2 linked regions of the Cricetulus griseus genome follow. The protein of the gene in region 1 interacts with the protein of each later gene in a biochemical or structural test. Links are inferred from orthologs where the notes say so. Each region holds a gene or a part of one and is shown on either strand. Other genes may lie near its edges. The genes, in order: Mcm4 and Mcmbp.

What was found.
Region 2: the proteins of Mcm4 (region 1) and Mcmbp form a complex in vitro, tested with the Homo sapiens proteins (2 studies listed by BioGRID). The link is inferred for Cricetulus griseus from reciprocal best matches to the Homo sapiens genes MCM4 and MCMBP.

What each region holds. Positions count from the first base shown.
Region 1 is NC_048597.1:73,866,261-73,870,082, reverse strand, and holds part of Mcm4 (DNA replication licensing factor MCM4), read right to left. Parts: intron 2,279-3,822; coding exon 2,019-2,278; intron 1,631-2,018; coding exon 1,265-1,630; intron 771-1,264; coding exon 643-770; intron 108-642; coding exon 1-107. UniProt on the Homo sapiens protein: Acts as a component of the MCM2-7 complex (MCM complex) which is the replicative helicase essential for 'once per cell cycle' DNA replication initiation and elongation in eukaryotic cells.
Region 2 is NC_048596.1:72,026,367-72,030,188, reverse strand, and holds part of Mcmbp (mini-chromosome maintenance complex-binding protein), read right to left. Parts: intron 3,472-3,822; coding exon 3,386-3,471; intron 2,630-3,385; coding exon 2,489-2,629; intron 2,405-2,488; coding exon 2,363-2,404; intron 1-2,362. UniProt on the Homo sapiens protein: Associated component of the MCM complex that acts as a regulator of DNA replication.

The sequences.
Region 1 (3,822 bases):
CCTCTACTTGCTCCTCACTTTGGTAGTACAGTGAAACCAGGTGATGAGCCAGACGCCGGTCATATGCCTCATCCTGAGGGTCCAGCATGAGGAAAATAAGATCAAACCTGACAAGACAGAGAAAAATACTGTCTTTCTAGTTGAGACACCAACATACCTATATATAGGATTTAAATGTGTTTAAACCACTAATCAACTATACTGTATACATGCCCACAGAGGGCTGCCTCGTCACCAACTGACCAATCCTCAGTCCTGCCTGGTAAGAGAAAGTCAAAGAAGTTAAGAATTTTCTGAGAAATGTTACTATAATTCAGAAGACTAACTATATTTGGGTACCAGTACATTCAACTGTTCTGAGAATAACTGTTTCACAAGGAGTGTACTTCAGTGATAGAGCACGTCCCTAACACATGAGAGGCCTTTCATTAAATCCCTAGCACTACCAGAAACAAAACAAATTTAGTAAAATAATTAAACACATAATCTTTGCCAAGAGCCCTGACCAACCAAGTCTGAATCATTGTTTAATGTCAATGGAGAGAGTGTTAGCAGTTACTGACCCTATTTTCTTTGCAATGTCCCGCTGACAATTATGAGTAAGCCAAGAGCAGTAGTCATCATACAGAAATGTTTTAGTACCTTGACAACAATGTATGTGGTAGTTGGATATTTTCAATGGTTGTTTTCTTAGGATTCCACTGAGACTCAATAGGATTTGCTGCTGCCAGGACAGATGTGCGGGCATTAAGCTGACAGATGATTCCAGCCTATCAGAGGAAGCAGTGAAGTTAGAAGCCTTTTCAAGACTCCCACAAGGAAGAAAACCATCTTCATCTGGCCTCTGGCTAATCCTCATTTGCTCTGCTGTTTCTGATTTCCAAGAACCTCTGATTTTAGTGCACACAGATGCTTGGTAACCTTGGAGGCCGGAAAAGGGCACTAGATCCCTTGAAACTTTACTGTTGTGAGCTACATGTGGGTGCTGGGAGGAACCAAATCCAGGTTTTCTGGTCAGGCAGCCACTGCTCTTAACCCTGGGCCATCTCTCCAAAACCCTGTAGCCACACATCTTTCATATCAGAAAGCAAACGGTTTAACACTGGTAGTAACTTTAACACAAACTTGAGCTTATAAGCACTACATATGAGTGAATAAAAGCTTATTAAGAGGTTTCCATCTAGAAGTGTTGAGAAATACTGATCACATTCTCAAGAGCAGATATCATCTCAGAGTCTAGTCACAGTACACAATCACCACTCACCTTTGCAATGGACAGAGTCTGTTGTTCCATGACTTCATGCAGTACAGATCTTGTACTTTCATTCATTTTGTCAAACTCATCAATGCAACATATGCCATTGTCGCTCAAGACAAGGGCACCTGTCTGTAGGACTAGCTGCCTGGTCTCAGGGTCTTTCATCACGTAGGCTGTGAGGCCAACTGCACTGGAGCCTTTTCCAGATGTGTATTGGCCCCTGGGGACCAGGTTGTATACATACTGAAGCAGCTGGGACTTGCTGGTACCAGGGTCACCACACAGAAGGATGTTGATCTCAGCACGGAATTTGCCCCTTCCTGTGTGACTGAAATCCTTCCTTGTTCCACCAAAGAGCTGAAGCAAGATTCCCTAAAAAAATGTATAAACACATCCAAACAGTCATTTTGTAGAATAGATTTAGCTTATGTTTTAGAGGTACTTTTCTATTTTGTAAGCTGAAGGCATGATCAAAATCATTGGAGAGTGCTTTGGTCACTCTAAATTATTCCTAACCGATTTAAACCTAAGTAGACATCACTCTAGGAGTTGACCAGCATTCCTCTGTTCTGAACCCACACAATCTCTTAGGTTTAGGGACATGAATGTGAAGAGATGAGTCACCACAACAAAACAATAACACTCAACTAACAACTGAGGCAGGGGTCAGTACTTGCTCTGTTATAGAGCAAACAGTTCTTATTTTGAGCAAATGGACTTTTAGAATTGTTTAACACCAGATTAAAAACACCATTGTTACCTTCTTTATATCTTCATGTTCGTAAATGCTGGGAGCCAAGGCTGAAGCAAGTCGCTCATAAATGTCTGGTTTCCTGGAAAGTTCCTTAAGCAATTTTACACGGTTCTCTGAAAAAAGTTTCTGTTCTGCTTCTTCATCAAGGCCATGTAGGCGTTTTGCATCGGTTTTCCGATAATGGATGACATCAATGTGGGTTTTATAGACAGACTTCACATTGCTCACTCTTGGATTGACTCGAATAGGTACTGCTCGATATATGCCTAAGAACATATACAGGCGACATAACTTTACCTTTCTATTTCTCCCTCCGCAGACTCAGTGGTCAGCACAGGCAATGTATAGCACCTAGGGGCCCCATCTCACCTAAGCATCATTACCTGTTAGTCTCCCAGCTAAGGACTACATTAAGGAAGTCAAGAGCCGGGCAGTGGTGGCTCACGCCTTTAATCCCAGCACTAGGGAGGCAGAGGCAGGAGGATCTCTTTGAGTTTGAGGCCAGCCTGGTCTACAGAGTGAGTGCCAGGATAGGCTCCAAAGCTACACAGAGAAACCCCATCCATGTCTCAAAAAAACAAAACAACAACAACAAAACAAACAAACCAAAACAAAAACAAAAGGAAAGTCAAGAAACTCTGGATAGTGGTGGCACATACTTTTAATCCCAGCACTCAGGAGGCAGAGGCAGGTGGATCTCTGAGTTAGAGGCCAGCCTGGTCTACAAAGCTAGGGAAATCCTTTATTGTTCAAACTAGTGTGAACTTCACACTAATTTTGTTTCTGTCTGCTTAAAAAAATAAATAAAAAGTTTTAATTCATTATTGGTATGTGAGATGCCTGTCTGCATGTGCTTGAGTGTCAGGACAGCATGTGGAGGTTGGCTTTTGGGAGTTGGTTCTTTCCTCTTCCATCCTGTGACACCCAGGGAAGGAACTCAGGCCATCAGAGTTGCTGGCAAGCACCACTAATCCAGGCCTCTATCTCTGAAGACTAAATCTGATCTCCCTCTCATCCTCACAGTACAGACCATGGTCCTTTAACAGGACAATGCAATTCTCATTTAAAACATAAAAGAAAACCAGCTTACAGAGCTAGTGAGGTACTCAGCAGGTAAAGGCACTTGCCACAAGCCTGATGACCTGAGTTCAATCTTCAGGTCACATGTGAAAGAAAAGAGAACTGGTTCCCACAAGCTGTCCTCTGATACAAGATTAAAAAACAAGACAACAAAACCAGCATTTACAATAACATTAAAAAAAAAAAAATGCAAACCTATTAAGGCAAGTGAGCGTGTGTGTGTGTGTGTGTGTGTGTGTGTGTGTGTGTGTGTGTGTGTGTGTGTGTGTGTGTGTGTGTGTGAAAACTGCATGTCTCTTGTATGCTGGGAAAGAAATCCTGAAATCCTGACTCACTGAATAGCTGGGACAGTGAGCCCCAGACTCAGAGCTAGGGAGACTTGGTTTCAATTCCCAATGAAGAACAGTGCTGTTCTTGACAAAGTGCTCACATTCCTCCAAACTGTAGAAAGTCTGCCACCCCCACATGACATTGAAGATAAGGCACCTTTTGCAAGAAGCAGCATTCAGAATCTACAAACCTGAATCAATGCAGCAATGAACTGCAACAACTAACAAGTCAGCAATAGCTTTCCCATATGGACTGCCCTGCTCTACTCCATGAGTAATGTTAGCTGTCCATGTAGGAAATAAGTAGAAAAGCATTTGTGAATCCCATGTTTGTCTGTCCCCAAGCTACTGGCAAACTGAATCCAATCAACACCACACCCTGAGGCTGCTCTCAAGGCATC
Region 2 (3,822 bases), on another chromosome or scaffold:
TTTACTCATTTAAGCAAGAAATTGTTTTTCAGTTTTTGTTTTTGAAACAATATCTTATGTGTCCCAGGCTGGCCTCAAACTCACTATGTGCTGAGGATGACCTTGAATTTCTGATCCATTTCCTGGGTGTTGGGGATTGAACCCGGTGCTTCATGTGTGATAGGAAAACATTCTATTATCTCAGCTATATTTTCTACCCTCAAATTAAGTTTTCTGCCTTTCTTGTTGTTTGTCTGGCACACAAACTCTGAGTTTGTGGCAGTGTCATGCCAAGATTACTGACTTGTCAATTTATGCTACTATACCCTGAGGATGGAACCTTACAAAGTAATGTTTGGACTTCTTAAGGAAGCATTGATAAAGTCACTCTACTAACATGCCATCACATTGTCTCATTCTAGAAGACACAGCAAAGCCTGAAGCCCTTGTAAGATCAAGGGAATCTGTCTCTAAGTGAGTCCCCACGACTGAGTCACTGTCAGAAGCCCCTGCAGCTCCTAGCTAGAGCTGGGTTTCTATCCCATCAGCTCACTAAACTGGAGCACTCATTCAACTAGGACAACTCTTCAGAATTGTACTAATACTTGTAAGACAGCTGTATTAATTAGAGCTAGCCATCAACTCCTGGGAGATCTGAGTAAATAAAAAGTAAAAAGCTCCTCATGATGGAGCTCATAGGGGATGTCCTTCTGTATGCTGTGAATATGTTTCTCTTATTGGTTGACGAATAAAGCTGTTTCAGCCAATGGACAGGCAGGATTTAGCTAGTCAGGAAATCCAAACAGAGATAGAGAAAGGTAGGAGGTGGAGTCAGGGAGATACTATGTAGCCACCTAGGAAGCAAAAGACCCAGGTCGGCAAGCCAAGACTATGTGGAGATACATAGATTAAAAGAAATGGATTAATAATTAAGAGAATACTGCCCAGTAAGAAGCCTGAGCCATTTGCCAAACAGTTTATAATTAATGTAAGATTCTGTGTGTTTATTTGGGACTAAAACTGCTGTGGGGTCGGGTGGGCAGAAACTTCTGTCCATGTTGAGTGAAGGTTCTGGGTCCATAAAGCAGAGAGCTAGACCCAGAAAAGGTAAACACAGAGGCCTCACCTTCCTACTGACCTGCCTGCTTTAATCCCACCTTGAATTCTTATTTTCTTCCCAACAACTGACAATTAAGCTCTGTGTTTCAACAGAAAACACATGAAAAACACAGGAGACACTATAAGCTATCTGGTTTCTTTAGCTATGCTAACAGTCTCTTTCACTGTTAAAATAAAAATAAACTTTCACAGCCCCAGCCAAGACACCACATGCTGAACAGGTGTCAAAATGAACTTCAATTGACTTTTTGTAACTACATGACACCCAATACTCTGTGCATTCCCTGTTACTAATGTGGAAGAGTACTTTCATTACGTCTTTCTAGCAATGCAAAGTTTGTTGTAAAACCTACATGTAGAGTAAAGCGTGGTAGTAACACACCTGCAGACCCATCACCTGGCTAGTGGAAGCAGAGGGATATGAGCTGCAGGCCAGGCCAGTCAGGCTACACACAAAATGGTATGTTTTTAAGTTGGGGGTATTGCTCAACTTAGTAAAGGTCATGCTTCACTTTCATAAGGTCTATGCTTCTTTAATCTCTGACAACACCCCCCCCCAAAAAAAAACAACCTTCCCCTAAAAAATCAGGGTGAGATTTAATCGTATTTAATTGAGGCAGTGACAAGCTAGTTTAGTGGGCAAAGGCACTTTCTGTCTAGCCTAATTACCTGAGTTTGAGCCCTCAGACCCATACGTGAATGTCCTTTGATCTTCATGGTCTGTGCCCTCTGCCCCACAAAACAACAAAAAACCCACAAATATTTAATTACATCTAATTGAGAAGTATTAAGTCTAAGTTAATCTTTCACTTTTGTCTAAAGAAACAATCATACACTGTGCTTTTAGTCACAAATACTGAGGAAGAATCTTGGTATTTACAATATTGCTAGAAATCTTTAAAAGACAAATAAGAAAATAATGTCAGAAAAACCCTTTTAAAGACAAATAAAAAATATTCTGCCTGATTTTTAAGAACTCATTCACACAAGACAAGTATGTTGAGGACCAACCAAAGAAAAATGAATTCTCTTTTTAGATGGAAATAAATCATGTAAAAATGTTTTTGAACAGCCGGGCGTAGGTGTTTGAAGGCCTTTAATCCCAGCACTCAGGTGGCAGAAGCAGGCAGATCTCTGTGAGTTTGAGGCCAGCCTGGTCTACAAGAGCTAGTTCCAGGACAGCCTCCAAAGCCACAGAGAAACCCTGTCTCGAAAAACACACGAAAAACCAAAACAACAAAAAAATACCATAAAATGTACATACCCCACATTCTGCTACATCTCTGTATTTTCCAAAATGAAGAACCTATTACCAAAACAAGAGACAAGGATTATATAAGTATAATTAATATTATAGGTTATAACAGCTCAAAAAGAAAGCAATACATACTCGTGCTTTTGTGGTCTGGTTAACTGTTTCATAAACTCCCATGTAAAACTCAGGGTCAAACATATCCTGAATCATGCAACGAAACTTGACAAAGCTGTTAGGTTTCAAATAATGAAGGGGAACTTCATTCAATGATGGTACCTTCAAAGAAAACAAGCAAGTCAGCAAAGTTGTTGTCTGTAAATGTTAAGTGCAAACACATTCAAAATCTAGTCCTATCTGGAAGCCGACTTCTTCCAAGTTCCTGTGCCTTCTAAAGCACACACAGCTTTTATTCCAGCCCGCCTGTTTTCTCTATGTTCTGTTTGTTTTCTCTCTTTTTAAGACACAGTCTCACTTTGTAGCTCAGAATGGTCTGGAATTCACTAATAGTCAAGGCTGGCCCCAACACGATCCTCCTGGGTCAGCCTCCTAAGGCCCCAGACTGTAGGTATCACCTCCTACAAAGGATTCCTGAACCCTTTCAATAAACAGAAAGGCATGCACTTTGATGAGTCCTCTGAACATTAACCCATGCCAATTCTTTTTTTTTAATTTATTTTTTATTTAAATTAGTAATAAGCTTGCTTCACATGTCAATCCCAGCTCCCTCTCCCTCCCCTCACCCCTCCACCCCACCAACCCCAAACCCCCACCCCATCCCCACATGCCAATTCTTTTAGGAGGGAACAAAACATAGGTGATAACTACTCTTAGAAACCAGTTTACCAGGCAGGAAAAGTCATTTACTGCCACCTAGAGGTACAACTCTGAAGCATCAGACCAAAGCCTTTTAATGCATATGTACAGTAGTAGTTTGTACTCATTCTCTACTTCTAATCCTATGGGGTTTCTATTCCACTGACAAACTATAGCCAGTAACTCTCCCTCTCTCCCTGCAAACAGCAGTAAGCTTACCCATTTAGGAGCATTGTTTTCCTTCAGCTTTTCCTTGAAGTATTCAATAACTTTTTTCTCCCAGTCAGGATTAACTCCATTTTGGGCTGAAAGAGAAATATGGTCATTGAAGCATAACATGGACCAACAGATTATGTTTAAGTCAGTAACATGTAAGCATAATAGTTAATACAAGAGCAACTGCGACATTTCACAGGCATTCCAGGAGCTTCCCTGCTGGGTGCTGGGCACCACAAACCCAGGCTGCTGGCCCATAGCTCTCCAGCATTAACAACTGAGTCAACACCTGTGGAATAGTATGAGGCTCACTTAGACCAGCCCAAGCTACAGGAGGTAAAACACTCAGCTTGAAATACTTTTATGTATAGTAATACACCCTGAAATGGAAAGCTGTGAATTTTTTTTTAAAAAATCATGCTTATTTAGTGTGCATATGG